Linked DNA regions of Mus musculus. The protein of the gene in region 1 purifies or fractionates together with the protein of each later gene. This does not show direct contact. Links are inferred from orthologs where the notes say so. Each region holds a gene or a part of one and is shown on either strand. Other genes may lie near its edges.

Region 1 (11,237 bases):
CTTGTTTTGGAGAACTCAGGTTTAATTCCCAACACCTACATGGTGGCTCACAACAGTCTGTAACTCCAATTCCAAGGGATCCAAAACTCTTCTGGCTTCCAAGGGCACCAGGAACTTGGTGCACAGACATATATGCAGGCAAAACACCCATGCATATAAAATAATATAATAATAAAATCTAAATTTGGAAGCCAGAGTAGAATTCAAGTCCTTGCGTAACAGGTCAAACATAAGTCATGAAGAGCTTGGGCAATGTATGGGCCATGCCATCACTGTTCGTGTTCATTCCTGTAAGGACGACATCACAGGAGGCTGACCAACAAAATTCCTGGACAGCAGTGTCTAAGCTAGACACACTACTGGTCAGACTACCAGCCCAAGTCTACACACAGACAAGAAGTAAACTTCAAGACACTTGCTTGTTAGCCTTCTGGTCAATCAAAACTAAACCAATAGTATTAAAAACCACTGAGTTAGTTGTGATGTCACATCTCTGCGATGCCAGCCAGCACTCAGGGGTGAAGGCAGGAGAATAGTTAGAGGCCGGGGCTGGGTAGGGATTTAATAAAATAGTATAACACTTACCTACCAAATGTGAAGCCCTAGGTTCAGTTCACAGTACCAGAACAAAGAAAAAAGGTGGGAGAGGTGGCTGGGGGGGGGGAAGGGGGGCACTGGCTCTGCACATGCCACACCATCACCAAGATAAACACATGGGTTCTGTTTAACTCTCTCAGATTCTATATCCACTGTCAATTAACTACTGAACAGGGACTACCCCACCACAAGAATACAGGCCGATTAATCTAACATGGTCATAATAGACTTTGTAACTGTAATCCCTCAGAAGAACTTTAAATGGTAAAGTTTGCAATTTGTGTGACCTCAATCAATCTGTCATCACTCGGCTTTTAACCCTGTAAAATTTCATAACTATATGTGATATTAGGCTTGCCAGCTTTCAATTTTTCAGAATAAAAGGCATTCCAACTATACCTCAGGCATATAGTTTATTTGTTAAATAGCAGAAAAATATTATTGGCATGAAAAGCCATGTATGTACACCTCTACACGGTGGTTCTCAACCTTCCTAATGCTGTGACCCTTGAATCCAGCTCTTCATGGTATGGTGGATCCCCAGCCATAAAATCATTTTCGTTGCTACTTCCTAATTGTAATTTTGCTACCGTTAAAAATCACTATGCAAAATATCTAATATTCGATCCCAAGTGGATTATGACCCACAATTAGGAACCACTGTTCTTAACCAGTGTTTTACTATGCATTGCCCTTCAGAATGCAAATCTCGAATCTTGTGGTATGTGTACACTTCTCTTGGCACTTAGCCCCAACAATATCAATGTCAAGTACAGAACAAAAAAATACAGCGTCTGGAGAGATGTTCAATGGTTAAGAGCGGAGGACCCAGCCGGGCGTGGTGGCACTCGCCTTTAATCCCAGCACTCAGGAGGCAGAGGCAGGCGAATTTCTGAGTTCGAGGCCAGCCTGGTCTACAAAGTGAGTTCCAGGACAGCCAGGGCAGAGGAACCCTGTCTTGGAAAACCAAAAACCAAACCAAAACAAAAGAGTGGAGGACCCAGGTTCAATTCCCAGCACCCACACAGTGGTTCATAACCATACCTAACTCCAGTTCCAGGGATCCAATGCCCTGTCTTCTGGTCTCTGTGGACACCAGACACAAATGTGGTGCAGATATTCACACAGGCAAAACAATCACTATGTTTTCCTTAAATACAGTTAAATGGTGATGCACACCTTTGATCCCAGTGTTCAAGAGGCAGAGATAAGCCAGCTAGAGATATACAGGTGAGACTCTGTTAAAAAACAAAGGCACACTGGGGTAGAAAGATGGCTAGGCAGGTTAGGGTACGCCTGACTGACTAAGTTCAATCCCTGGGATCCACTTGAAGGAAGACGAGAGCCTGCTCCTGCAGGTCCTCTGACCTTCACAAGCTTGCCATGGTGATGCGTGCCTTCACACACACACACACACACACACAGACACACACAGAGAACACACACAGACACACACACACAGAGAACACACACAGACACACACACACACACACACACAGAGAACACACACACACACACGCACACAGACACACACACACAGAGACACACAGAAACACACACACCACAATACACTGTTTAGAACAAGACTGAAAACTCCATGGCCAGGAACTGCATTTTTATGTCTAACATTCTTCACTGACCCTCATAGTGAAAACAAACAAACCCCAACAACGGTAGTGAGGCGAGAAGCAAGTGGGAACGGCTCAGGAGAATAGGCACTGGACTCAAAGAAAAGGAAAAGGAGAAGAGAAAAGCACAGCAACAACGGTAACCAGCACTCGCTCAGCGCTCCACAAGGACCGGGCACTCAAGAGCCTCTTCATACTCAGCATCTCATTTAGGCTTGTTTAACTTTCCCTTGAGGCATCTCTCTTGAGGAAGAAATGATATGCTGAGGATTACTCCGTAGGTTAAAAGGGTACTGAGGGCTGGAGATGGCTCAGCAGTTCAGAGCACTGGTCATTCTTCCAGAGGGCCTGGGTTCCACTCCTATCACAACCTAATGGTTCACCGATCTCAGTAACTCCAGTCTCAGGAGATCCTCTGCTGGCATCAACATACGGCACGGACATACACACAAAAACACCCATACACATTAAAAAATGTAGGGAGAAAAAGAAAGGTGTGGCAATCCAAATGAACCCTACAGGAGGCATTCTACACGTTTTTACTAGATTTTCTTTTTAAAGCCAGCAACAGGCTAAGACGTATCTCAGCTGTTCAGACGTGCCAGGAAACCTAAGGCCCTGAGGCCCAGCTGGGGGTGGGGGTTACAGAATGAGTGCTGGCATACCTGCTGCATGTGCATGTCAGGTCTTAGGAATTCCCAAGCACTAAGGTTTGGGTTTGGATCAGCAGCAATTTACCTTTTTAAAAAGTAATTGTCTTGAGATGTCTTTCAATGTACTTTTTCATAGTCATCCCTACTTCCTTCCAACTCCACCCCAGCCCTAAAAACTCACCTAGTCCAATCTGTGCTGCCCATCCATAGACTCAACAGTGTGAGGCCTCACACTGGGGCTAGTTTCCCTCAAGGACCACATCCATAGAGAACACTGACTGGCTCACCCCTAGAAGCATCAAGGGCCCATCTCGACTCAGCCTAGGCCCTCTCTGCCCTGGGCTAGGATCTTATACAGCTGCTGCTGAGTTCACAAGTGGAATCTAGAAAATACTGTTTCCGCTGGGTGTCCCTGACCTCTGACTCTTATAATCTCTCTTCCTCCCCTTGGTCCCTAAGCTCTGGGAGGAAAAGAGGATGGTGACAGAGCAATTTAACTTATTAAAACACTAGGAATGTGGTAGTATTCCCCAGCCCACAAACTGCTGGTGAAACATTTTTAACTTTTCAAGGAAAGTTCAGGTAAGTTTTAAACGTTCCCCAGCAAGGTGCTATGTTATAGTTCAACCGCAATACAAAAAGAGAGACAGACAGACAGACCCAGCCATCTTGCCTTCACTTAAAGCAGACCTGTGGCTCATACCTGTAAGCCCAACGCCTATGTCCATGTCCTCCTAACAGGAGAATCATGGAGTTGGGACCAAGGCAGTCAGAAACTAGGATTTACACAAAAAGACCCCGGCCCCACAATACAACATCTTCACTATCAAACTAAGTGCCCCAAGTGACAAAGCTTTCTTTTAGGAGGTGAAAGGAAAGCACCATTGACATTCCTACTCAATGAAATTCCAGTGTGTCGTTAAATACATTGAACCGTATCCATGAGACTTCCTGTCTCCGAGACAAATCCCACAGACAGACATGTTAGCAGAAAAATAAAGTTCTCTGACCGTCTGGCTGACTTAGTTACAGGGACGATCCCAAAGTCTAATGTAGAGTTCTGTAAATACGCTGAACAATCGCTCATAAATCCACGGGCTCATAAACCCATGGGCGGCGAGTGCTCACTGCAAGTGTGGAAGGCATTAAGCAAGTTTGGCAACGTACTCGACTGAACTAGAAAGTGGACCAGTTGCACTCTGCGTTTGAGGAAACGGGTGGTAAATCTCCAAGCTTCCTCGTTAACACGAACCTACACAAGCTACGCTGAGACGCGCGATTTTGCTCCGATTACACTGAGATTCTTGTTTCTACCGAAGGGGTGGGGGGAACGGGACGGACTGCATAAGACCAGTCTTGTCTCCCTCAAGGGCCTGAAACCATCACGGTCAATCACGAAAAGAATTGCCTCGAGTCACAGGGAGCTGGATCTGCTACATCCATATCTAATGCCTTCAGAGAAGGTTTGTTTGTTTTTAATAACCACACTTCGTTCAATGGACAGTCTTCATCACACTCCTTCAGCTAGCATCCCAGTAACTTTCTCGGCGTAAGTGTGAAAATGAATATTTTTATAAACACCCTGTCAAGTCGAAGCAACCGAGCCCTTTCCCAAGTTCCAGGTCACCCAAGTGACTGGTGCAAACATGCATCGACCAGGGCCGGCCGACTTGGAGGCCGTTACCTATCCCAGTTCTCGGGGGGGGGGGTGCGAGGGGGTACCCTGAGTAAATGAAGAAACTATACGTCCCTTTCTCAAAAGACAAAAATTTTTTTTAAAAATGTTTCAAGAAAAATTCTTCAAACCAGCCTCGCCTACGTGCCAAGTCGAGTAGGGCGACGGGCGGCGTCCGGCCCGGGAAGAAGGCAGGAGGGTGGAGTTCACTTTTCCCTCCGGCCGGCTCGCCCAGGCCCTCCCCCAACCAGAATCCGGAACCAGGCCCGGGAGGGTGGGAGGCTCGCGCCCCCCAGAAGGCCGGGCGCGCGCTCTACGCCAGCTCGAGGCTTTTCGGGCCTGCGGGGGCCCCCGATGGCGCTGCGCGCGGCACCGGGTCCGGAGCGCCAGGCGCGGCCGTGCACTCACCCGTCTCCCACCACCACACACTTGATGGCCTGCATCTGGGCCGCTCGGTGGGCCGCGGCGGCGGCGGCGGCGGCCGGTGGCTGAGGCGCGAAGCGGCGGGCTCGGGAAGCGCTGGGCGAGGCTGCGGGCGGCGGGGCGCCGAGTGCCGGGACTGCTGTCCACGCCGCCGGGCCCTCAGCGCACGGGAAGGCGAAGCGCAGCAGCAGCCACCACCCAAAGCTGGGGAAAACTGCAGAGAAACAGGAAATGGCCGCTCCACTCACATCCGGCCTCCCCTCCCCCTCGGTGCCGTCGACGCAGCTCCCAGGCTCCGGGCGGGGCCGCTCCCGCCCGCCCGCGCGCCCGCCCGCGCCGTTCCTGGCTTCCACGGGCTTTCGGGAAAGCTCGGCAACAGTCGGCTCCAGCCGGAGAACGGGCTCGGCGGCCGCGGGGCGGGGCGGCCGCCATCTTGGCACGCTAAAGCGTCCCGGTTGTGACCAGGTTTAGGAAGCCCTCTGAATCCTGGGGTTACGGGTTCGGGTCAGTGGTAGGGTCCCGTTCGCTCGCAACCTACTTGTGCCAACTCCATGGAGAGATTCCTGAGCCCCCTTGTTATGTGATAACTACAGTATGCTGTAGCGTAAGATCCTGCTAGAAAATTCTGTATAGCTCGTGCCACAGTGAGATCCAGTCTCAAAAAAGAAACTGCTAGGGATGTAGCCAAGTCAGAATGTTTGCCGGCATGTACAGCCTGGGGCTCCATCCCTAGCACATCACAGCCTGCCCTGGTGGCTCACCTGTAATCCCAGCACTTGGTGGGCGGAAGCAGTAGAATCCTGGGGATCAACCTCAAGTCCAACCTCTGGATATGCAACTCAATTGGTAGAGTGCTTCCCCGAGCAGATACAGATATGAAACCCTAGGATTGAACCTCACGACGGTATGAAACAGATGTGGTATATATCAGGTAGTGCATACCTGGAATCCCAGCTCTGGACTGGAGGTAGCAGAAACATCTGAAGTTTGACCTCTGGCTATGTAGCGTCCAGCGTTAACCTGACCTACCATGAGACTTTCTCAATAGGGGTGGGGGGTGGGGAGGGAGCACTAAATAAACAAAAATATAAGGAAAAAAAAACATACATACCATTAAAATAATAAACAGAAGGATAAAGGTCAGAAGAATTCTTTTAAAGATTGCTGATATGATAGGGTAAGCATATAATTCATTCACAAATAAGGTAGCCTATTAGAAGACAAGAACATTAAAGATATTTTTGGTTATCTGTGGTGTGTGTGTGTGTGCATGTTTTCATGTGTGGGCACATGTGTGGTGCACATGTGTATAGAAGACCAAGGTTGACACTGGGTGTATTCAGTTGCTGTTCACCTTATATATATTGAAGTAAGATCTCTCATTGAACACAAAACTGGCCAATTCCAGTTAATCTAGCCAACCAGCTTGCCCTGGAGATCCCATCTTTATCTTCCGGAGTTACAGGTGAGTCACCGTACCCTCCTAGTATACTAGTTTCTGGATTGGAGCTCTGTTCCTCACACTTGCCTGGCAAGTTCCCTCCTCCTGGAGCTTAAGAGGCCAAGCTGCTCTTCCAGTAGACTGGAGTTAGGTTCCCAGCACCTGAATCACATGGCTTACAGCCACCTGTAATTCCAGCTCCAGAGCGATCCAACACCTTTGGCCCCCTGAGACACCTGCATTCATTCACGTGTGTGCACGTGAGCACAGACACAAAATCTAAAATATTTTTTTAAAGAAAAGAAACCAGACCAGGAATTCCAGCCATCCTAATATCCTAACAGTAAAAAAATAAAACAAACAAACAAAAAATAGAAACAAAACAAAAAATTTAAGGGAAGCATCTGTGGAACTATTCCACGAGAATTTCCCAGACCTGGAGGATAAACCATTTACAGATAGATAATGCCCACAGGGAAGGAAATCTGCCCCACTGCACTGTACAAACTTGTAAAACTTCAGAACCATGTGAACACATAAGACCCTTCTGGCTTCCAAAGAGAAAACAAAGTCTTAAAGAGACAGGAATTTAGAATGGCTTTGGGTTTCTCAGCAGTTCCATTTGAGGGACAACGCCTTCAGGACGACGGCTCAAGAAGTAAAGGTGCTTGCCGTCCAGCGATGCAAGTTTGGTAGCTCGAGTGCCCTCCTTGCAACCCAGGTAAAGGTGGATGGAGAGAACTCTGTCCTCTGAGTCTTTGTATGCACACAAATTGGGCCTGTGAGATGGCTCAGTAGACAAAGGCATTTGCTATCAAGCCTGAGGTACTGAGTTCAATCCTTAGGACTTACAGAATAGAAAGACAGAATTGACACTCTTAAGTTATTGTTTGGTTTACACACACACACACACACACATTGGGGTACATGTCTTCATCAGACATCCACACAAAATAAAATGTAAAATAAAAGTGTTTTAATGAGTACATTTTTAAAAAAGGAACCAAAACAATTAATTAATTAATTAAAAAGCTGGGTGGTGGTGGCGCAGCCTTTAATCCCAGCACTTGTGAGGCAGAGGCAGGCGGATTTCTGAGTTCGAGGCCAGCCTGGTCTACAAAGTGAGTTCCAGGACAGCCAGGGCTACACAGAGAAGTCCTGTCTCGAAAAACCAAAAAAAAAAAAAAAAAAAAAAAGAAAAGAAAAGAAAAAAAAAAAAAAAAACGGCTATTTAGGCTGGCCATGGTGGTTCATACTGTACTTTGAATCCCAGCTCCCAGCACTTAGAAGGTAGAGAGGTAGAGACATGCAGATCTCTGTGAGCTTGAAGCCAGCCTGGTCTACATGGTGAGACCTTGTCTCAAAAAAAGCAAACAAAAATAAATGAAAACATTTTAGAAAAATTATGCTTAAGCTAGAATTCCTCACATGGCCAAAAATCCTTGATCAGTTGCATAAAGTAAGAATGTCTTCTGATAAATAAGTTCTCAGAAAGGATTACCTCCCAGATACCAGGCCTTAAGGAAACGTCTGGAGCATATGCTCTTCTAGGAGAAGGAAATAAAACAAAACAAAACAAAAAAAGAGTTATGAAAGACAGAAAGAAACTTGAGCTCCCGCAGGAGGACCAGGAGGGAGCCCACAAGACGACAGGGAAACTGCCACAGCCCACAGACAGTCTGTGCCCATGGCTACTTCCTTCAAATGAACAAACCAGCACTGTTATTGACCACGGGGTTCCGCTGACAGGCCGTGACAATGGTGACATTAAGAGGGAGACAGGAGGGGATGGCCTTCTCTGTACTGCCCCCCACCCCAGTGTTATAGAATACAAATCTGGGAAGGCTGGTGAGATGGCTTATCAAGGCAAGAAGTATCTACTGTCGAGCCTGGCAGCCCGTGCTCCATCCCCAGGAGCAGTGTAGTGAAAGAAAGAAAGAACCTATTCCTCTCTGTTGTCCTCTGAGTCCTGAGTGCCTGCTCCCTGCACGGCAGGTGCCTCAGTGCACACACACACAAATGTAACTTTTAAAAATTAGCACTGTGTGATGGCACACGCCTTTAGTCCCAGCACTTTAGAAGCAGAGGCAGGTGGATGTCTGTGAATTAAACCAGCCTGGTCTACATGAAGAGTTCTAAGCCAACCAGGGCTACATAGTGAAACCCTGTCTGAAAGAGAGAGAGAGAGAAAGAGAGAGAGAGAGAGAGAGGAGTTTTTTGTTTATTTGTTGACTATGTAGCTTTGGGTAGTCTGGAACTTGCCATAGAGACTAGGCCTGGCATTGAACTCAGAGATCCGCCAGCTCTGCCTCCTGAGTGCTTGGATCACAGACTTGCACCACCATGCCTAGCACGTCACATATACATTTTCTTTTAAAAGAATCCTTAAAATAAAGATTTATACAACTGGAAGATGGTTTGGGGGTTAAGAGCAGGCACTCTTCTTACAGAGGACAGGAGTAAGAGTCCCTCCCCACACTCACTTCTGGTGGCTTGCAACCACCCATAACTGTGGCTCTGATGCCCTTTCCTGGACTCTATGGGTACCAGCAAACACATGGGCACACAAAGAAAAACGGAAAAAAAAGTTAGGGTTTCTTTTTGGTTTTTGGTTTTTGTTTGTTTGTTTGTTTGTTTGTTTGTTTGTTTTTCAAGACAGGGTTTCTCTGTGTACTGGCTAGTTTTGTGTCAACTTGACACAGCTGGAGTTATCACAGTGAATGGAGCTTCAGTTGAGGAAATGCCTCCATGAGATCCAACTGTAAGGCATTTTCTCAATTAGTGATCAAGGGGGAAAGGCCCCTTGTGGGTGGGACCATCTCTGGGCTGGTTATCTTGGTTCTATAAGAGAGCAGGCTGAGCAAGCCAAGAGAAGCAAGCCAGTAAGAAACATCCCTCCGTGGCCTCTGCATCAGCTCCTGCTTCCTGACCTGCTTGAGTTCCAGTCCTGACTTCCTTTGGTGATGAACAGCAATGTGGAAGTGAAAGCTGAATAAACCCTTTCCTCCCCAATTTGCTTCTTGGTCATGATGTTTATGGAGGAATAGAAACCCTGACTAAGACACTCTGTATAGTTCTGGCTGTCCTGGAACCCACTCTGTAGACCAGGCTGGCCTCAAACTCAGAAATCTGCCTGCCTCTGCCTCCCAAGTGTGCCACCATTGCCCGGTAAAAAGTGTTTTTTAAAATGAGAATTTGTAATAATGGAGTGCCTCATTAATGTTAACAGTGATCTAACAGCCTTCTCACAGAACTCAATTTCTACATAGGTCCCTTTGGGAGAGGTGGGTCTCTCTGATCTTCTCACTATGACCCTTTTCCCTCAAATAAACTAATTAATTAACCTTATTTATTTATTTTGTGCAAAGTGCACATACATGTTCTGTGGTGTGTCCATGGAGGTTTTAAAATTTTGGTTTGTTTTGTTTTTGAGACAGTGTATAGGCCTGGCTGTCCTAGAACTCACTCTGTAGACCAGACAGACTGGCCTTGAACTCAGAAATCTCCTGTTTCTGCTTCCTGAGTGCTGGGATCAAAGGTGTGCGCCATGACACCTGGCTTCTGCAGTTACCTGTCAACCTCTATCTCCTTAAGGCACAGCACTTTCTTTCTTTCTTTTTTGTTTTTGTTTTTTGTTTTTTGAGACAGGGTTTCTCTGTATAGCCCTGGCTGTCCTGGAACTCACTTTGTAGATCAGGCTGGCCTCGAACTCAGAAATCTGCCTGCCTCTGCCTCCCAAGTGCTGGGATTAAAGGTGTGCGCCACCACACCCGGCTCAGCACAGTACTTTCTGCAGCACTGAGCTTCACAGTCACTCACCCACTCACCTGTGTCCACCTCCAATTTTGCTACAGGAGTGTAGGAGTGGTGATATCATAGACCTTTGCTACAGCATCTACCTGTGGATGCTGGCTGTGGGAATTGATCTCTGGTTGCCAGGTTATGTGCATGAATGTATGTGTGCACTCGACATGCATGCAGGAGACCACAGAGGTCAGAAGAGGACAGAGCTGGAGAGATGGCTTAGCGGTTAAGAGCATTTGTTGCTCTTGCAGAGAACCTGGCTTTGATTCTCAGCTCCCATGTGGTGGCTTACAACCATCCACAATTCCAGGTCCAGGAATCTGATGCCTTCTTCTAACCTCCACACTACTCGGCACACATGTGGTCCAGGTACATAGCATATAGGAAGAACATGCACATAAAAGAAAATCTCTATTTTTAAAGGCTGCTGTAGAAGAAGAGGAAGACTTGTAATAGTAGTAGTGGTAGTAGGAGAAGAAGAAGAAGAAGAAGGAGGAGGAGGAGGAGGAGGAGGAGGAGAAGGAGAAGGAGAAGGAGGAGAAGAAGAAGGAGAAGAAGGAGGAAGAAGAAGGAGAAGGAGAAGAAGAAGGAGGAGGAGGAGGAGGAGGAGGAGGAGGAGGAGGAGGAGGAGGAGAAGAAGAAGAAGAGGAGGAGGGGGGAAGGGGAGGGGGGAGGAGGAAGTCATTATAATTCCTGGGACCTGGAATTATGGATGGCTGGGTGGTTGTGAGCCAACCCCAGTCCTCTGCAAGAGCAGTAAACACTCTTTTTTCTTTTCTTTTTTTCTTTTCTTTTTTTTTTTTTTTTTTTGGTTTTTTGAGACAGGGTTTCTCTGTGTAGTCCTGGCTGTCCTGGAACTCACTTTGTAGACCAGGCTGGCCTCAAACTCAGAAATCCACCTGCCTCTGCCTCCCGAGTGCTGGGATTAAAGGCATGCACCACCACACCCGGCTAGCAGTAAGCACTCTTAACCTCTGTTTCTGCTGCTATAACAAAATACTACACTCTGGATAATT
Region 2 (10,741 bases), on another chromosome or scaffold:
CACATTAAGCAGAAAGATGAGTTATTGTAAACTCAAGTTGTATTCAGTTTTTAAAATAGGTATTTAAAAGTCTTAAAAGATGGCTATGGTCTATTCAAAGTTAGCTTTTCTCTAGCATTTTATTTTTTCCTTAATGACTATGACAGGAAATCGATAGCTTTTTTTTTTATTAGATGTTTTCTTTATTTACATTTCAAATGTTATCCCCTTTCCTGGTTTCCCCTCCAAAAACCCCCTATCCCCTCTCCCCCTCCCCCTCTCCCCCATTCCCCATCCCCCTGCCCACCAACCCACCCACTCCTGCTTCCTAGCTCTGGCATTCCCCTATACTGGGGCATAGAACCTTCACAGGACCAAGGGCCTCTCCTCCCTTTGATGACTGAACAGGCCATCCTCTGCTACACATGCAGCTCGAGCCATGAGTCTCACCATGTTTACTCTTTGGTTGGTGGTTTCGTCCCTGGGAGCTCTAGGGGTACTGATTAGTTCAAATTGTTGTTCCTCCTCTGGGGCTGCAAACCCCTTCAGGTCCTTGGGTCCTTTCTCTAGCTCCTTCATTAGGGACCCTGTGCTCAGTCCAGTGGTAGGCTTCGAGGATCCACCTCTGTATTTGTCAGGTACTGGTGGAGCCTCTCTGGAGACAGCTATAACAGGCTTCTGTCAGTAAGCACTTGTTGGCAAGTTGATCGCTTTTTAAGGGTTTATAGTTAATTTGTTTTAAAATTTAAGATCCATGTGATCAAAACCACAGATTTAATTCCAGCTGTGATTTTGTAGTAAATTTAAATCACATGATATACAAGGAGACACAGTTATTGCAAGTGTCCATGTTTGAGACATGATGTGTGTATCTGTCTTCTCTCCTTTCTGTCTGTCCATCCCAGGGATCAAACCAAGGTTGTCAGGCTTGGTGGCAAAAGCCTCTGTCTAATGAACCATTTTGACAGACTGCCTCGCATATCTCGACTCTTGAACAGTGTTCACGTTTCAAAATGATGTCTTTCAAACTGTAGGGTGGGATGGGGTTTGAGTGTCTTCCTGTGCAGCTCAGACTGGCTGTCCACTCTAAATAATCCTCCTGCCTCTGCCTTAGCCTTCCAAATGCTGGGATTACAGATTTATGCCATTGTGCTTGCTTTATTCAAATGGCTTATCTACCACTCTGCTTCCATTATCTGCCTCTCTTCATATGTCTCTTCTGACCTAACAGTCTATGAGCATTCTCTCAGGCTCCATTTACCTCTTCCTTAATTCTACTTGAAACTCTTCCCTTTTCTGTCTCTGCCTTTGGAAGTCCTGCCTGTCTGTGAGGCCAGGTTCACTTGCCATTTTCTAAGAACCTAGATTCCTCAATGATAAAAAAGTTTTTTCTTAGTGCTAGTAGACAATTTTTTTATTTTTCTTCTGCCCATATTTATACTAGATAATAAACAACTTAAAGGCCTTGTTTCTTTTCATTTTTGGTTTTCCTATAATGCTATATAGAAGTTAGCACTTGAGAGTAATGATTGTTCTATAATTTTATGACTGAAACTATGAATAGAGCAGAAAATGAGTTTTTCTAAGTAGAAATAAAATACAAGGTTAAATAGTTCTTATGAGCACACTGATGTTTGGGTGCTGAGAATTCTAATATAGTGCCCGAATTGAATTAATTATCCAATTCTTATTACTTAGTATAATTTTTAAATTGAGTTTTTAGCAAACTTTCAATAAAAAAAAAATGACTTGATTTGAAGATCCCAAACATAATTTTTAGCAGCTTTATTCTTGTGTCATAAAAGATGCTCATCTAAAGTGTACAGTTCCATGGTTTTGAATATAGTCACAGAGTCATGGCCATCACAGGTCACAATTAGTTTTAGAATAGTTTTGTCATCCCCAAGTGCATCAGTACCCAGGGCAGGAGCTCCCCACTTTCAGCTCACTCCCCATCTTAGATGATAGCTACGTCTCTGAAGTCATCCCTCTTTGAGTACTGTGTGTAAATCATTTAACGGAGAGTTTTTTGATTTCGATGTCTTTAACTTAGCATGTTTTCATGGCCCACCATGTTTCAGCATGTGTTAGCACAGTACTTTATTTTTTAGTGTTTTATTGGATGAATGTACTAGTTTGTTTATTCAGTTATCAATTACAGATGTGGGTTGTCTTTACTTTCTAGATGTTGTAAATAATGCTACCTTTTTATCCATGTTGATGTTTTTGGTCTCTTATATAACAAATGGATTCTGTAGAAACTGTTTAGCTTTGAGGAACCACCAAACAGATGGGCTGTGGCGAGACTGGTTTATATTGCTAACAAGGAGGGTGCCAGGGTTTTCTCTATCCAGTCCTTGTCTTCATGTTGAGAGCCATTTTAGTAGGTGTGCAGAGGTATCACGCTGGTTTGGTTTGCATCTCCTTCATTCTCGAGGCTGCCACACGTCTGTGATGTGTCTGTATGGCTTCTTTAGAGAGAGGTTTGTCTGGATCCTTTGCCCATTTTTAGACCGTGTGTCGCCTGTGTTTGCAGAGTTGGATCTCTCCTTTCACTCTTGCCTGGCCTGGGGGTTGAACTCCATCGCCGGGTTTATGCCAGGGGAAAATCCTTTTCCCATTGAGCTGTCACTGGCCTGCATCATTTTATTTTTGAACTATCAAGCAGTAATACATCTTCAGTAGAATCATGGTTCTGAGTTCTCTTTTCAGTTTCTTGCTAGTATCCAAGAATCACAGAACTCTTTCATTTCAGCGTACTTTGACTTATCTGTTTTTTCTTTTGTTTACAGTTTTGCTGTCAAACAAACAAATATTGTCTTGACAAAGGTCATCAGAATTTATGCCTGTATTTTCTTCTAAATTTTTGAAATTTTAGCTTTTACATTTATATCTTTGATGCACTTTGAAATTCAGTTGGTGTATTGTGAGCAGTGTGCGTCTCTGCAACTTAGTTCATGGTTGTTTCTATTTGAGCTTTATTATCTGTTAATATCAATGATAGCCAACTATGTATACAGGTTTTAATTAGAATACCACTCAGCATATCTTGAATGATTAAAATCTATGCATGATAGAAAATTATTAGATTGCTTTATCAGATTCTTAGGTTTTTAATTTTTTTCCTGTAATTAATTTGCTATGTTTATGGCTCTGATTAAGCATTGAATCCCTGAAGTTTTTCACTAAGTAACTGTGGATGTAAGCATAGGTTCAGTCATAATAACTGGCTTTCGGTGTTGACTCTAGCCAGGCTGAGCTGGTGCTCCTTCTGTAGCCAGGCTGGCCTTGAACTCTCAAGTGCAGATATATAGGTGTGAGCCACCACAACTGGCTTTCTTTCTCTCTTTTGACTTGATATTTTACTTCCATCTTTGCAAGACAAAAAGTATCTTTAGGATGATTCTGTGGAGCTTGCCACAGAGAGGCTGCAAGCCTTGTTTGCACAGTGGGAAGTTACAAAGAGCAGGGTTGGAGCGTTGTCTGGTGTGGGTTACCTGCACTGTCAGCCCTGCTTCAGCCAAGGTGCTGAAATCTTCTAGTAGGTTCGTGGGCAGACTGATGGACACCATAGACATTTTCTTACTAAAGTAAACTTTCTCAGACGTTTGTTAAAATATTTATCTCTTTGTAATTGCTGTATTTTGTCAGGTTGCAATGAATGTGTATGAGCTGTCCTCGGCTGCTGGGTTACCATGTGAGATTGATCCTGCCTTAGTCGTAGCTCTTTCCTCACAAAAATCAGGTAAAATGCATTCAAATATGGAGCTTTCTTATTAAAATTATAGGGCAGTCTAGGTATACACGTAGTATTTGTTTTTTAAAATGTCTTATGTTAAGCTTTATTCACCCATTTATTCATTTATAATTGGAATACATCAGGATTCAAAAGACAAAATGCTTTGCTTTGGAGTTTTTGCTATAGCTTAGTCATTACATCCTGTCCAAGCCATACTACCAGATGAAGCTGTTAAAGTCATTTGGTGTAGATAGATAGGGCGGTGCAAAGAAACAGTGCCCTTTCAGCTGTAGTGAGTTCAGGGAGAAGAGGAAGAAATGCATAATACAGACTAAGATGGAAGGACCAATGTAATCAGAGAAAAAACAAGCACTTGGGAAAAAGCTCCTAAGACAGTGAAAGCGAATCGCGAACTGTGCACTGTTAGAGAGCTGTGGTGCTGAGATCGGTGTCTCTGAAGTCAGTGAGTGTGAGAGAAGGGACTGGACACACTTGATATGGAACAGCTCTGCTGGGATGAAGACATAGTGCTTGTGTTGGGAAGCATGGGTAGGCCCTACACACTACACTGTAGCTATATATACCCCAGCTTGTGGAAAGGACTTTGTGAGTTGGAGATAGAAGAAGAGAACATTTGTATGCTGGTGGAAGGCAGCCCTTATGGTAGCCAGAGAGCTGGGACTAGAAAATGGTGTCCTGTTTTAATTAGAATAGATGTTCACCATAAAAAGTTGCTACATTATATAATACTGACCATTTAGAAATTTTAAAACCAGTTCTTTGAAACATAGTATCAACTATGTTCCAAATCTTGGTTTCTCTACAGTGTGAATAAGGTGGGGTGGTTTTTTTTGTTATTGTTGATGATGTTTTTTGTTTGATTGGTTTGGTTTTGGTATTGAAATGCCTTCTCCACCCTTTTGATTTTAATTTCTTTTTAAATTTTTCACTTACTTAATGTATATGAATAATTTGCCTGCACTTATGTGCACTGTGTGCATGCCTGGTACCCAAGGAGTGAAGACGAGGGCATCAGCCTCAGAGCGGGAATTACAGACCATTGGGAGCCATCATGTGGGTGCTGAGAACTGAACTCGGGTCCTCTGCAAGAGCAGCAAGTGCTCTTAGCCACTAAGCCCCTTTTCTACTCTTTTAAGCCAACTTGCAGTCATTGAGTTTATTAGTTTTCTTTTTAATTACACTGTTTTTCCTAATTCAAATAATATATAAATTATTGCTTATAGGTATTTTTATGATCAACCAAAGTTTTAAAAATATACTGTGTTTTTGTTTTCTTGTGATCAATCCATAGTTTCATATAATTGCCAACTGCTGGGTAACTAGAAGTTCTCAGATGTCAGATAAGAAGCCAAGTGCTAGACAGAGCTATTTAAATACGCTAGGTATTTTATTAAAGGTTATTGTTCTTATAGCTACTGAGTATGTTAGATACTTTCATTCATAACTGCTTCCTTCTGTCTTCTAGAATGGAGAAATAAGTAACGCAGTCCCCTTTTCAATACTGGTAACCTTTAAGCAGTGTATTTATATATTCTTAGCTAGCCTAGGGAAAGAAAGGAATTGTTTTTCTTTTAGTGAATTTTCAGATAATAAGATAAGAAATTTATAAATAGTAATATGTATGGTATTCTCATAATTATTCATCAGTTTTCAATTAGGAAATTTAAGTAGTTTATTACCTTTATTTTTTAGGTTAGATTATTAACTTTCAAATAATCTGGAGGAAAGCTTGATTTTCACTCCTTGATTTCTTCTGCAGAGAACATTAGTCCAGAGGAAGAATACAAGATCGCTTGTCTCCTGATGGTCTTTGTAGCAGTTTCCTTGCCTACACTGGCCAGCAATGTAATGTCACAGTACAGCCCTGCAATAGAAGGTACTTGGTTTACAATTGTAACAATGAAAGAACATTGGCTTTAGTGTTACATGTATTTTTCTCTCTGGGTAATGTTCTTTTCTGATAAAATAGTGCTCAAATTCTGCCAAACAGTAGCTTTGGAGTGGGCATCCTAATTTTCTGAACTGTGAAATGTTGTGTAGTTCAGCTGAGAGGTGCAGCAGAGGGTAGTGTGTGTGTTCAGACAGTGGGGTATTTTAGGGCCTGAGAAGGCGTGCCTTAAAATAACTTAGCCCTTATCATTTACAGTTCCAAGGGGTAGGACGAAGCATCATGTCTTTCTAGAGTGTTTGCCTACTAATGAAGTACTGACGTGGTCATTAGTTGCATCCTTGCTGGGATATTTAAAAACATGCATGCTCATAAAATAAAAAGAGTAAGTCACTGTGGACCCTAATTCTTAGTCAGTCATGCTGCCATTCGCGTGGTCTGAGGAGTCACTAAAGCATGCTGTCTGTGTGTTACAATAATATTTTGTGGTCATGCAGACTACACAGCCCTGTTTGTTCTCTCCCAGGACACTGCAACAATATACATTGTTTGGCCAAAGCCATCAACCAGATTGCTGCAGCTTTGTTTACAATTCACAAAGGAAGTATTGAAGACCGACTTAAGGAATTCCTGGCGGTATGTCTAATCAAATAGCTTGACATTTTACAAAGAAAACAAAAAGTTATGCCTATGTTATACAACAGTAAATTCCCATCATTTTTACATCTTATTTAGTGTTCTCCAAAGACATTTTTGTTCTCAGTTTATTAAGTATTAAATCTTGTTTCTTTTTTAATGTTTTGGTTTTAGAAAGATAGATTGCATCAAGGTTATCATTGTTTTCCCTCTAGCTTGGGGTCTTTCCTTCCAGAGCTCTGCTATGTGGCCTGTTTGCTGAAAATAATGTTTGAGAGGTGCAGCAGAGGGTAGTGTGTGTGTTCAGACAGTGGGGTATTTTAGGGTCTGAGAAGGCGTGCCTTAAAATAACTTAGCCCTTATCATTTACAGTTCCAAGGGGTAGGACGATTGTAGAGATTGTCTTCACATTCAAAAGATGTTTTTTTCTTCAAAGAAAGTGGAAGCCTAGAGAGCTAATGTGTTCTTTAAAAGATGCAATTTCGAAAAAACAAAACAAAACAAAAGGCCAGGCAGTGATGGCACACGCCTTTAATCCCAGCTTTTGGGAGGCAGAGAGGCAGGCAAATTTCTTAGTTCAAGGCCAGCCTGGTCTACAGAATGAGTTCCAGGACAACCAGGTCTACACAGAGAAACCCTATCTCGAAAAACCAAAATAAATAAATAAAATAAAATAAAATAAAATAAAATAAAATAAAATAAAATAAAAAAGGATTATTTGCCTCTCAGTTCCCAGACCTACAATGTACAGCTCATAACCACTTGTAACTCCTGTCCCAGGAACTGGCCAGCATGGGTACTACACACACACACACACACACATACACACACCACACACATTTATTCAGGTACTCACACGAAAAATAAAAATAAATATCTAAAACAGTAGCAGAAGGTATGTTTCCTTATTCCTACTTATTTGAAGAAATACTATTAATAGGTACAAAGTCAGCAATAAAAGTATGACTCACAGGGCTATGGCAGTTACGGATACTTACTGCTCTTCCAAAGGTTCAGCTCCTAGCACCCACATTAGACATCTCACTACCTCACTACAGTTCACTACAGTTCTTGGGATTTGATGCCCACTTGTACACAGTCATGAAGGCATATACATATGCACATAAACAAACAAACAAACCATAAAATTACATGTGGCTTGCTACCAAAAGAGAGTAATGTTAAATCTGTCACCAGACATGGTTTAGTGCAGTATTTTTCTTTACCAATGCTTCTTTTTCATAATTGCTTAAAGAACAGATAATTTAAGCAAAATGAACCCTAGAATATTTAGTTTTTTTCTTTGTTGAAAATCTTGTTGGTTTTTATATATATACACACACACACACACACATATATATGTACACATATATAAATACATATATGCAAATACAACAGTTATTTAAGAAGGAACTCAAGTTTGAAAACATTATTATAATTCTGTTGTTTTCCTTTTATTTACTTTACTTGGGGAGTTAATGTCCTTAAAATTACTATGAATACAAACCCAGATTGAAATTGCCTTATTTAGGATCTAAAAAGTACACAGTGTGTTCACCTCTCATGTATAGATTATGCTTTCTGAGTTCCCCACGCCAAGAGGGTACTTGAAGCCAGGAATAGTACTGAACTGTATGCATCCATGCACACACAGGAAAGTATTAGAGTACAATACATTATTAATGGAAATAATAGAAAGGTTTCACCAGTTTGCATGCCATAATAACAGTTAGGAGAGTGAAGTCCCTCGAAATGCTTTGTTGTCTTATGTCCACCCTTCTTGTGACCCTGAGATGACACTGGTGTGTGTGAGGTAAATGGAGGTGACGATGTAGACATTGGTGGACGTTGGAGGTGGGCTTTAGACAGTGCTTCAAGGGGAGGATCCTCTGCTTTGGGTGATAATGATCATTACCGGGAGAATATCTTGACTTGCTGCCAAGAGAGAGTAGTGTTAAGTGTGCCCATCAGACATGGCTGCGAGGAGTTCTTGGACATTAGTAGCAAATAACGGCGATGGCTGGGAATTCTCAACAGCCTTTAAAAGAGACCTTGGAAGGATATTGTAATTAGTTCTTACTGAATATGAAAGCAGTGGTGCAGAGGTTATAATCTTTCAGGGACCATGTGGCTGACCTCAGTGCTGTTTTCCACACAGAGACCTTACTCCTTTAATCTCCACCTTTAGAACCTATGCAGCGTAGAACACTTTGGCATACTTCAGTAACATGTGCTTGGTGCTTCTGCTCTCACTTCCTCTACTTTGTATTGTCTTCTACAGCCCTTGTGAGCTTTGTGTACTGCAGCATGGTCTTCACCAAGTAGTTCAGCAGGTCCTGTCCCACCAACTTGTCTTGTTGTTTTTAAGCGGTTTTCCTAATTTTCCTGTCTATCCCCAGAAAGCCTTCAAAACAACTCATCCATCACTGTATCCATGAGTTCCTCATATCAGTCCTGGTTTTACTAATCCATTGCCGCTTTAATGAATGTTATTGTGCCCACAATAGCAGATAGTTTTCAGTACTGCATTATATCCTGGGGTTTCCTTTGATTGCTAGTTGATTATAGTTAAATACCAGGGAGGTGGATATGGCCTTAATAAACTAAATAATACTCTGGTCAGATTAAAACATTCAGTATCACATTTTCCCCTCCCTCCCTCCCTCCCTCCCTCCCTCCCTCCCTCCCTCCCTCCCTCCCTCCCTTCTTTCATCATCATTTTTGGGATTTTTGAGACAGGGCCTCTATTGTAGTCCTAGCTGTCCTGGAACTCATGTAGACCAGACTGGCCTCGAACTCAGGCGTGCTAAGATTACAGACGTGGTCCAGCATTACATTTTTTTTTCCAGCATTACATTTTTATTGTCTCTTTTTGCAGAAGTTCAGAGTGGTCAGATGTTGTCTGTTAGTTACAAGGCTTTTAATTCAAACCGTCTTCCAACAATATGGCTGTCATTCACATTATAGTTTTTATTTCTGAGGACCTTGTGTCCATCACTCTATACAGTGGCATACACTTTGGCTATAACCTTCAGTTTGACATGTGGTGGCAGCATTAGAATAAATTACCTTCTGCAGATAGATTAGCTTTTCCTAGAGATTTCAGGATCTTGATAGAAACTTGTCTGCTGGGCTAGAGATGGACTGAGGCTGCCACAAGGGGACCACATGGGGGCGGGGAAACCCAGTTGCTAGAACATAGCTGGCGCTAGAGTGGGTGTCATTTATATATTTCATGAAACATTACATTCTCATGTGAAGGAAAGACCTTCTCCCCCCTCCTCCCCCCCTACCCCCCCTCCTCCTCCTCCTCGGCTGTACATTTGCAAGCAGCCATGCTGAGGTGTGGGCACTTGAACAGAAACACTGCATTACCATGTCATTCAGCAGGTAACTAACATGCAGGTATATACATAGTGTGGGTGTGCAGGACAGAGGGACAGCCCTGTTCCTGAGGAAGATGGAGCAGAGTCACACATAGAATGGCATGGAATTCAAAGTTAGAAACTGATTATTGGAAATTAGGAAATTCTGGAATTTTCTATTTTGCTTTCCAACCATATTTGGCCATTAAAAGCAAAACTATTTGTAAAAGGGGGGTGGCTGCTGTAGAGTATTATGGATCTTGGGAAGAGAAAACAATATGAATCATTTTAAGAAACAAACTTGAGCAAAAAGTTAGTTTTGACGAATATTTGATTATATGTATACCTTAATTGTTGATTGATAAGAGGTCTCTAGCTCATCGTACTTTACACATTGAATAACGGAAGCTTGTTGAAGGTTGAGTTGTACTGAGAATGGACGTGAACAGCATTTCTTTGCCAACCTCATTGATTACATGTGTGTTCTTTTAAGCTTGCATCATCCAGTCTACTGAAAATTGGCCAAGAGACAGATAAAACTACAACAAGAAATAGAGAATCTGTTTATTTGCTACTGGATATGGTATGTCTCATTTCAATTTAATTAACTTTTACTGATAACAAAATGTTCCAGTCCTTAGCACTCCTCTTCTTGGCAAGTGAAAGTTTTATTGGTGTTTTGTTCTGTTTCTTTTGTGATTTTTTTTTTCTCCATTTCTTGTGGTCACTTCACTCAAACCATACACTTTCTAAAAATTTCTGCAAAGACTTGCATTGCTCCTTTTTTGCCATAGGTCAGTAATAGGAAGTCGTAAGACCAAAGGTGAGTGTTAACTGTAAGGTTGTGTTCAGGCCTTTTATATTCCTGCTAAGCCGAGTTTAATTCTCTAGCTTGCCATGGCAGTGTCTGAGACTCTTTCTTCTTAGTTTCCTTTGCCTGTAGAGATCTGTGTCTATCTGAAGACTCAGCAGAACTCATGACTCCATTTCTTCCCTAGATGATCTTTCCCAATCACACAGGCCTACATTAGACTTTCTTTCCTCTTGAACTCTAGAATTTACTGCTTTCTATTTAATCATAGCTGGTCTTATTTTTTACTTTACTTTCTAGCT
Region 3 (10,741 bases), on another chromosome or scaffold:
TTCTCAAATTGACATTATTAGCATGAGTAATAGTCTTGAAATTATAGCTGGATAAGGAGTTGTATAGCAGTACTTTGTGGCTCCTCAGAAACAGTGAATGAAGCTGAGGCATTTAACATCAGCTGCTTAGGAGTCTGCTGAGATAGGAGAATGGGAATTTCAGGGCCTGTCTAGGCTACACATTCAAGGCCAGCCTTGGACTTCTTAGAAAGACCCTATCACAAATAAAAAGCTGTTTTTAAAAGACTGGGGTGATTTATGGTTATTCCTGCTTATAATCCTAGCATTTGGGATATGTAGGCAGGAGGTTTAGAAGTCCAAGGTCATGTTTGGCTACATAGCAAATTTGAGGCCAGCTTCAGAATGGCCTCTAATGGGAACTGATGTTATAGTTAAGTGATGGAGTGCCTGCTTAGTGTGCTCATGGCTCTTAGTTTAATCCCCAGTAACATACAAAAAAGACAAGAATGAAAAGGTTGGTTTTACTTGTTTGTCCATTGCATGGGTGGGGGATGTACATCGCATAATGCACAGTTGGCGGTCTGTACAGCCTGGAGGGGTTTGTTCTCCTCTGTGAGCTCCTGAGATTGAACTTGTCAGAAAGTGCCTTCTCTCTGGCCCCAAGATAGTTAATGGAATTGAATGCTGGAGACTGCCTTTACTAGTACTTCACTAATTTATCAGCTAGTAGAGTTTAATTTAATTTTCTTTAATCTTTTAGGTGCAAATACCTATTGGATGAGAAGGGGCAAGAATATATAAATAATATTCATTTAACCCATTCACTTGAGGAATCTTTGGTGAGTAGCTTATTGTGCAATATATTTTCAAATTCTATATTATTTGTTTTTCTTTTGTTTTCATTAATTTATTTATTCACTTTACATCCCAATATCCACTCCCCATTTCCCAGTTTCTCCCTTACACAACTTCTTCCCTCATTCTCTCCCCATCCCACCCTGCCATATCAAGTCACTGCAGCATTAGGTACATCCTCTCCTGCTGAGGCCAGACAAGGAGGCTCAGTTGGAGGAACAGGATCCACAGGCAGGCAATAGGTTTAGGAACAGCCCCCCCCACTTCAGTTGTTGGGGGACCCACATAGACCAAGCTGTACATCTACTATATATGTGCAGGGGGCATGTGTAGGTCCAGCCCATGCTTGCTCTTTGGCTGGTGATTCAGTCTCTAGGAGACTCCAATGGTCCAAGTTCATTGACTGTTAGTCTTCCTATGGTGTGTGTGTGTGTGTGTGTGTGTGTGTGTGTGTGTCTTTAGTAACCTTTTAGCAGATAATACTTCAGATTGCAAAAATAAGGACAGAGATATACGTGGGTTTTACCTTTTCTGGCTAGCATAAACAAGCCCCTGGGTTCAATCAAGATGAACAACTGTGTCTGAATTGACACAGAACAGTGGCCGTCAGAGCATTAGTATACTGAGAAGAACTTTGGACTGCAGTGGGAGTCTAGAGTGGACATGACGGTTCTACCCTTAGCTTTTAGCTGCATTTGTATTGGTTTGTTCTCCAGGGGATCGTTGGATCTCTTTGGCCCTCAGCTTCTTGTTTATAAAGGGGTGATGAGTAGATAGATAGTCTTACCTTCCTTCCATTCCGTTAGGTTATGCTCTTATGAATAGTCAGGGTTTTTAAATTAGAATAAAGCCAATTTGTTTTAAGTTTATTAACTTTTCAAATTGAGATAATTGCTTTCTGCTAAAGTGAATTCTTACCATTCATATTTCTATTTTAGGGAAGAACTGCTGAAAAAACACCATCGCTAACTAAAAAAATCGGTAAATATGCCTATTAAAAATAAATCTGTTTAGTTTTGTGGCCAATTTATTATAGTATGTTTAATGAGGCTGCTATAAATTTAAGAATTTAATGAAGTGCTTATAATTTTATTCCAGATAGTTTTGTAGTGAGAACATTAATAGAAAGCCAGGTGCTGTGGTGGAAATCTAATCCTAGCACTCACAATGTTAAAGCAGGAGAATTCTGAACTTGTGGTCAGTCTGGATTGCATGGCATGGTTTTAAGAAAGGAAGGGAGGGAGGAAAATGTATTAAAACAACAAAGAGATTAGAAGTTTAGATTTTTACATTTTTATTTACTTATTTATTTAATCTGTATGGGTGGTCAGCCTTCATATATGTGTGCCATATGCATGCCTGGTTGCCCCAGAAGCCAGGAGAGGGTGTTAGATCCCATGGGGCTGAAGTTAAAAGTAGTTGTGAGCCTCCATGTGAGTGCCAGGAATTGAACTCAGGTCCTCTGGAAGAGCCAATGTTCTTAACCTCTGAGCTATCCCAGTAGTCTGTCTACTGTGTAGGCCAGACTGGCCTGGACCTGTCTCTTTCTGCCTCAGTTTCTAAGTGCTGGGATTGGGGTGTGTGCCCCCACATGCAGCTAAAGCCGATACTGTGATGGTGTTTGTTGTTGTTTGGTGCTGGTGACTGAGCCGTGAATAGTAAGTACTCTGAGCTGCATCCACTGCAGTTAGTCCTACATTCCTCTGAAGAAACAAAGGTGATGTGATCTACCCATGGCCATGGTATAATTTCGTTTTGTTTCATTTTGTTTTTAGAGACAGGATTTCTCTGTGTACCCCTGGCTGTCATGGAAGTTGTTTTATACAACACGCTAGCCTCAACCTCACAGAGATATGCCTGCTATTGCCTCCCAATTAAATGCATGCACTATTATAAATTGTTAATAGAACTAAGCACTATAACAGGGTCTTCTAAATTCCATAGCATATTGTAGATTTAGGTTTTTTTAAGATTTATTTATTATTATATGTAAGTACACTATAGCTGTCTTCAGACACACCAGAAGAGGGCGTCAGATCTCATTATGGATGGTTGTGAGCCACCATGTGGTTGCTGGGATTTATCAGAACCTTAGAAAGAGCAGTCAGTGCTCTTAACAGCTAAGCCATCTCTCCAGCCCTAAATGTAATTTTCAGTGTGATTATGTATGGGGGTTTGGTGGTGGTGGTGGTGGTGTGGAACGGAGTTTTTCTCTATATTTCAACTGTCCTGGAACTCGCTTTGAAGAGCAGGCTGGCCTCAAACCCCCAGATACCTTCCTGCCTCTGTCTCTGTCTCCAGAGTGTTAAAATTAAAGGTGTCCACCACAACACCTGTGCACTGGTGTTTGTTTTTTTTTTTGTTTTTTTTTTGAGAAGGGTATTTTCTGTATAGACCTGGCTGTCATGGAACTCAACTCTATAGACCAGGCTGGCCTCGAACTTAGAAATCCGCTTGCCTCTGACTCACAAGTGCTAGGATTAAAGACATGCACCACCACTGCCGAGCAGACACTAGTTCTTTTGGAGTTTCCATTTGTGGGTTTTCAGTTTTTTGTTTTGTTTTGTTTTCTTGTCTATTCTTTTCTTTTAAGATGTCCTTTTTCAATTGAAGCAGTATGTTTTAATTTAGAGTATCTGGTGAGTCCCTATTCCCTAATGTTGTAACATCATCTAGGATACTACAAATATTTGTAAATATGCTTGAAATGCAGAGCTACGTTATATTATTTGGAATGGACTTGGTAGCAGGTATAAATAACCAAGTTAAATCATTTTTCTCTAGCATACTTCTTTTTGTGGTTTCTCGAGATAGGGTTTCCTGGATGTCTTGGAACTTTCTCTGTAGACTAGGCTGGCCTAGAACTCAAAGATCTGCCTGTCCCTGCCTCCTGAGTGCTGGGATTAAAGGTGTGCACGAGCACTTTTCTTTTCAGCTTTGGAAATCAAAGGCACAGCAACACATATAATAGGCAAACACTCTACTGTTGAACTTATCATCAATATGATAGTCTCAAATCCCTAAACTATTTTACTGTTTAGTTATGTTAATGAAAATACTTCTACTATGTTCTTTCTCCACCCAACTTTGATTTCAGATGATACCATCTTCCAGAATCCTATGGTGCAAGAAGCTATACGAATGGGATTTAGCTTCAAGGACATTAAGAAAACAATGGAAGAAAAAATCCAAACATCCGGGAGCAGCTATCTATCACTTGAGGTCCTGATTGCAGATCTTGTGAGTGCTCAGAAAGATAATACGGAGGATGAGTCAAGTCAAACTTCATTGCAGAAAGGTATGCATTGTTTGTTTTTATAGGAAAATTCACCTTGTAGCCCATCCATTTCCTTTATAATATCCCCATAGAATAAACACTTTTACTCTTTGAACTTAGTATTATGGTTCTCTTATTTCAATGAACAACCAAAATTACAGCAGATAAGCTACTTCTAGACAGTTTTTCTTTTATCCTTTTTTCTTTCTCTGGGTGGGGTGGGGGTTGGAGACAGCTCTGTATAGCCCTGGCTGTCCTGGAATTTGCTATGTAGACCAGGCTGGATCTCAAACTCAAGTGATCCACTTGTTTCTACCCCACAAATGCTGGGGTTAAAGGCGTGAGCCCCACACCCAGCCTGAAGGCTGATTCTTTTCTTTTTTTTTAAGATTTATTTATGTGAGTACACTGTAGCTGTGCAGATGGTTGTGAGCCTTCTTGTGGTTGCTGGGAACTGAATTTTTAAGACCTCTGCTCGCTCTGGTCAACCCCGCTCACTCAGGTGGGCCCCGCTCGCTCTGGTCAATTATTATACATAAGTACACTGTAGTTGTCTTCAGACACACCAGAAGATGGTGTCAGATCTCATTACAGATGGTTGTGAGCCACCATGTGGTTGCTGGGATTTGAACTCAAGACCTTCAGAAGAGCAGTTACCTCTTACCCACTGAGCCATCTCGCCAGCCCTGAAGGCTGTTTCTTAAGAAGAGACTAGAACAATCCTTTTTGTCCTTTTCATACCCAGAGAGCTCAAATATGGCAGTACCTCTCTCTCTCTGATTCAAAACTCCTCAGCAGCTCTCAGAACCCTCAGAATCAAGTCTCAGTTCTTCCATGATTTGTCACATCTTTAAGGGTCAACTCTTGCCGACCTTCTGTATCTGGTCTGGTTTCCTTCATATTCAATTACCAGTTTTGACTTACGCGCTTATATGCTGTGCTCTGTCTCTTGCAGCATGCTTCAGTCATTTTTTTCACCTTCGTTTAATATCATTGTCACTGTTTAGCATATCGTGATTTTCTGTTTACTTATGTTCCCAATTTTTCTGTGAATATTGGGTGCCTAAAGTGTATGTATGTACTATTTATTTTATACCAAATGCTCAAGTAAGTGTTCAATAAGTGCTTGCTAAGGAAGAACAAGATTAAACTTGATTTCTAAACACGTTTTGGAAATAATGTTCCCTCCAGGACATAAATGCCATGAAAAGGAGTGATGGCAGCCATGGGGCACACACCTTTAATCTCAGGATTCAGGAGGCAGAGACAGGCCACGGCTAAATAATAAGACCCAGAATTTGTTTTGTTTTGTTTTGAAAAGGATATATACAAAGTTTAATAGGGAAATGCATTGTGTTCCCATAATGGGATACATCCAGTGAAATAGTTTCATGTGACTCGTCCTAGAAGTTAGAAAAACCTAGCAGAGCTAGTGCAGTTGATCAGTGGGTAAGGTGCTTGCTTCCAAGCCTGAAGATCTAACTTGAGGACTAGAAACCTGGGAACTGTATGGTGGACAAAGAGAACCAACTCCTGAAAGTTGACCTCTTCACTTTGTCACATGTGCCACAGTGTATGCGCTCACACAAATATAAATACATGTAATAAATTATTTTTTAGAAGGAAAGAAAACTTGTTTGTGAAAATGCCACAAGAGGTAGGTATGTGGCACAATGAATGGTATACAGTATCCTGAATTTTCAGGATGCTAACCACCCCCCCCCACACACACACACACACACACACATCCCAAAGGGGGAAAAACCTTCCAATTCTCATTTGAAGCCAGATTTATAAACCATTAGTGTACAGTGATTACAAATATAGTTAAAATATGTAATTTATTTGGAATAATGCCCAGCATATAATATTTATGTTCTATTACTGTTGATTATTGTTGCTGTTATCATATATGACTACAAATCATAGTTTTGTGGCATATTTGTTAGCATTTCACAAAATCTGTTTTGGCAAAGGTTCAGCTATGCAGCTACTTCAGTATCCTCTAATTACACCCAAATGTTTTTGTGTGGATAGCCTGCCAACATCTTAAATGTACTTGCAACTGTAAAGCCTTTACCTTCTTCTCTATTTCCAATAGTTCTCACTGCCTCCTTAACCCTGACAAACCCAACTAACTTTACCTGCGCTTTCTCTCTTCAGCCCTCACATCGAAGCACTAAATCCTACCTGTCCCACAGTAGAAGCAGCCTTCAAATAGACCCCTTCCTGGAATTACCCATGCCTTTCAACATGTTTGTACAGTTCCCTCATCTTTGCTTTTTCTGCCTGGTCATTTGTTGCCACACCACTGCAGTCCTGCTTATCACGATGCCTTCCCTAGCCACCCAGACAGAAGAACTTGTTCATTTTGCCCCAGAGCACTCTGTATGTAACTTGATTATAGTATGTTCTACTTTGTTCTTACCCTCTCTGGCTGTATCTCACAGCCTCTCCCACTAGCACACAAGCTACTTAAGAATTGCTGCTATGTCTGAGTCATTTTCGTGTCTCCCAGGACTTGAGTGTCTGGGACACAGGAGGGGGTTCAATGTTTCAACGAATTTAAACAACAAAACCAAAAATTAGTATATGTTGTTTTTCTTTTTACACAGACATTAGTACTGAAGAGCAGCTAAGGCGCCTACAAGAGGAGAAGCTTTGCAAAATCTGTATGGATAGAAATATTGCTATCGTTTTTGTTCCTTGTGGACATCTGGTCACTTGTAAACAGTGTGCAGAAGCAGTTGACAAATGTCCCATGTGCTACACCGTCATTACGTTCAAGCAAAAAATTTTTATGTCTTAGTGGGGCACCACATGTTATGTTCTTCTTGCTCTAATTGAATGTGTGATGGGAGCGAACTTTAAGTAATCTGCATTGCATTCCATTAGCATCTGCTGTTTCCAAATGGAGACCAATGCTAACAGCACTGTTTCCGTCTAAACATTCAATTTCTGGATCTTTCGAGTTATCAGCTGTATCATTTAGCCAGTGTTTTACTCGATTGAAACCTTAGACAGAGAAGCATTTTATAGCTTTTCACATGTATATTGGTAGTACACTGACTTGATTTCTATATGTAAGTGAATTCATCACCTGCATGTTTCATGCCTTTTGCATAAGCTTAACAAATGGAGTGTTCTGTATAAGCATGGAGATGTGATGGAATCTGCCCAATGACTTTAATTGGCTTATTGTAAACACGGAAAGAACTGCCCCACGCTGCTGGGAGGATAAAGATTGTTTTAGATGCTCACTTCTGTGTTTTAGGATTCTGCCCATTTACTTGGAATTTATTGGAGTTATAAATGTACTTATATGAGTATTTTTAAGTGATTTCGTCATCTCCTAAAAGATATTGAATGGTAGACTACCATCTAACCAGCATGTACTGACATGGAAAGGCAACACAGATATAGTTAAGTGTAAAATACAAATGGCAAAACACTGTATCTAGTTGGAGCCAAATCAGCTTGTGTGTATTTTGTATCTGTACAGGACAAAAAGGTTTGAAAATATAAGTATCACACTCTTAAATGTATTTTTTCTTCAGGGGGTGGGGGGTGGGTCTTAGAGGGGCTTATAGAGCCCTTCACTTTATTTTTTCATTTTTTTCTGTTTAAAGGTTTTATAAGTATGTATTACTTTTATAATCAGAGTTCTTAGTAAATATGTTGCTGATTTAAAGGCTTAGGCATGTTCAAACGTCTGCAAAACTACTTATCGCTCAGTTTTAGTTTTTCTAATCCAGGAAGGCAGGCCAGTTAACTTTTCTGGTGCCAATGTGAACTTTAAATGTTTTTATTTTACCTGCTTTGTGGATGAAAAATATTTCTGAGTGGTAGTTTTCTGACAGGTAGATCATGTCTTTTTATCTTGTTTCAAAATAACTATTTCTGATTTTGTAAAATGAAATATAAAATATGTCTCAGATCTTCCAATTAATTAGTAAGGATTCACCCTTAATCCTTGCTAGTTGAAGCCTGCCTAAGTCACTTTACTAAAAGATCTTTGTTAACCCAGTATTGTAACCATCTGTCCGCTTACGTAGGTAAATGTAGACGCCTGGTGTATATGGCTTGTAGTTTTAGTGTTGGCTCTCCGTGTTGAGATTCTTTCTCAGTGTCATTCTGTGTCCTACAAGTTTCATGTAGGTTTCGATGTTAGGATGGTTAAGATGTATATAGTACAAAATGTTCAGTCTTTGATTGTTTTATGTTTGTTTGTTTTCATGACTAGTAATGGTAGTGGATACTTTAAAAATATTTTCTGAAGATCCTTAAAACCTTGGAAATTGTAACATACTGAGAAGAGTGGTTGTTTGAATATTTTTAACAACTTGTATAAGTCAATATGAATACAATCAAAAGCTAAAGTGCTTCATAGAACACGGGATTTACCTTAAGTAATTATCATGAGAGACCTCTTGTAAAGACTGGTCTATTTTACTACAGAGAACAGTTTGAGAGTGAAACTGTTACAATTTAGACTTTTTGTTGTATTTTCTAAGAGAAAGAGTATTGTTAGGTTCTCCTAACCTCTGTTGACTACTATGGTAAGTGATGTTATTTTAATTGCAAATTTAAATAGAAACCAACAGAATTAAGTAACTGACTGTCTCTCTCTCTCTCTCTCTCTCTGTCTTCTTCATGAAAATCCTTAGTTCTGTATACTGCCTTCTGCTTAGATTTAGTTATATGATCATTAGGTTACATTTGATCTAAGTTGACTAAGATTTCAATTTCAATTTATATTTCAAGCATTCTGCCAGGGAATAGTTTTAAAAATTGTTTCCAAGGCACTTCAGGTACAAGTCATATAGGTAGTTTGTTTAATCTAGTCCTTAGCCTAGGACTCAAGGACTGAATGTTTTCAAATAACACTTTTCTTGTTCTCAGAGCCTCAGTTCATTAAAACTCTTTTAAAACCTGTGTGCTGAGAGTTAAGCAAGACCTCTTTTCTTGTCTTCATGAGTTGCGAAATTGAATTCATGGAGCTGATGTGGCTAACAAGTTTATTTTAGGAATTGTTTAGAAAATGCTGTTGCTTCGGGTTCTTAAAATCACAGCACTCCAACTCTAATCAAATTATTGGAGACTTAGCAGAGCTGGTCTGAAATCACACTAAAAAAAAAAAGGTACTGGATCCTTTCCAGTATGGTTGTGTAAAAAATGGTCACTCGGAAGGTCACAGAATAACCGGCTCTGAATCACCACCCCTGAGAGAGTTCAGTGTCTGCGTGCTGATGGTCTTTTGCTGTATAAAGTTCATTCTAGAATTTTGAAGTAACCACCCGTTTTACTACATATTAGTCATGTGAATTTTGAAGTTATTTTGTAATAGTTACTTTCATTTGTTATTTACTGTGTTGATCAAGATGTGTGTGAGTGTTTAGCATTTATTAAAGTATTGTCTTTCCTCCTAGACTTTTGCCTCTTCCTGTAGTTAGGGGTAGAGGTGAGGTGAGTGGAGTGACTACAATGTGATTCGCTGGGGTAGGACAGTTTGTTGTCTTGTTAGTCACAGTGTGTTGCTCTGTTTTTTATTTTAGTAAGATTTATATTTTGAGCTCTCTGAATGGAAAGTGCCACTGCAACCTTAGCTGCATGCATTGTTCCCATTAGACCTAAGTCTTCCTGGACTTCTGAGTCCCCAGATACTGGATAAAGGAAGAGGAGAGATGGAGTAGCCTGTCTGTCACTGCTATGAGAGAAGCAAGAAAGTGGGTAGAGAAATACTTCACATTTTAGTCACATCTTCTCTTTTTAAAAAGGTAGCCATCAGTGAAGGAAAGAACTAGTCAAAAATAGGCTTGACAACCTGAATTCAGATCCCCAGAACGGGCATAAAAGCAGCCAGGTCATGGTTAGTGCACTCCTTTAATCCCAGCATTTGGGAGGCAGGGGTAGACATATCTGGGTTTGAAGCCAGCCTGATCTACAGAGTGAGTTCCAGGACAGGGAACCCTGTCTTATTCATAAAAGAAAACAAAACAAACAAAAAGCTGAGCGCACTAGCCCAAGCACCTGTAATCCCAGAATGCCTACATGAAACAGGAAGTAGCTAGGAGAATGCCCCAAAGCTCATGGTCAGTTAATGGCTTATGTATTAATGAAGAGGCACCATGGTAAACAAAGTGGGAAGGTGAGAGCCCACCAACATCCACAAGTTATCTGCTGCCTCCACACATGTAACATGGCAGGTAACCACTTACACCCAGACACATACACAAAAGAGAGAAGACCAAGAGTGTTAACACAAGAACATCTTATATACTCTTAAGTGTTAACTCTCATCCTACAACTTAGAATCCTCCATGGCTTTGTCTTGATGGAAGATCTTAGACTAAAGCTTAAAAGAGGCCCAGAACTATTACTCAGTTAAGAGTACTTGCTGCTTTTTCAGAGGACTTAGGTTCAGTTCCCAGCACCCACATGGACAAAGACACATGTAGCTCTGGTGCCCTCTTTTGGCCTTCAGGGGTGCATGCATGTGTGTATACATACACAGTCATACACAAGTACACATAAAATAAAAGTAATCTTTAAAGCTTAAATGAAACTCTTTATGTTAACTTTTACTCACTATTATTTGTTTCTCTGGATGCTTCTTGTAACAAAGCTATAAATTGTAATAAATAGTTC

Evidence for each region.
Region 2: the proteins of Rac1 (region 1) and Nckap1 purify together in Homo sapiens (pull-down; 4 studies listed by BioGRID and IntAct, with this or other methods). This does not show direct contact. The link is inferred for Mus musculus from reciprocal best matches to the Homo sapiens genes RAC1 and NCKAP1.
Region 3: the proteins of Rac1 (region 1) and Xiap purify together in Homo sapiens (affinity purification with western blotting; 3 studies listed by BioGRID and IntAct, with this or other methods). This does not show direct contact. The link is inferred for Mus musculus from reciprocal best matches to the Homo sapiens genes RAC1 and XIAP.

Annotation. Positions count from the first base shown.
Region 1 is NC_000071.6:143,522,802-143,534,038, forward strand, and holds the start of Rac1 (ras-related C3 botulinum toxin substrate 1), read right to left. Parts: upstream 5,193-11,237; 5' UTR 4,997-5,192; coding exon 4,962-4,996; intron 1-4,961. UniProt on the Homo sapiens protein: Plasma membrane-associated small GTPase which cycles between active GTP-bound and inactive GDP-bound states.
Region 2 is NC_000068.7:80,501,695-80,512,435, reverse strand, and holds part of Nckap1 (nck-associated protein 1), read left to right. Parts: intron 1-3,630; coding exon 3,631-3,724; intron 3,725-5,498; coding exon 5,499-5,615; intron 5,616-6,153; coding exon 6,154-6,263; intron 6,264-10,121; coding exon 10,122-10,211; intron 10,212-10,741. UniProt on the Homo sapiens protein: Part of the WAVE complex that regulates lamellipodia formation. The WAVE complex regulates actin filament reorganization via its interaction with the Arp2/3 complex. Actin remodeling activity is regulated by RAC1.
Region 3 is NC_000086.7:42,098,083-42,108,823, forward strand, and holds part of Xiap (E3 ubiquitin-protein ligase XIAP), read left to right. Parts: intron 1-721; coding exon 722-800; intron 801-1,754; coding exon 1,755-1,797; intron 1,798-3,913; coding exon 3,914-4,114; intron 4,115-6,708; coding exon 6,709-6,902; 3' UTR 6,903-10,741.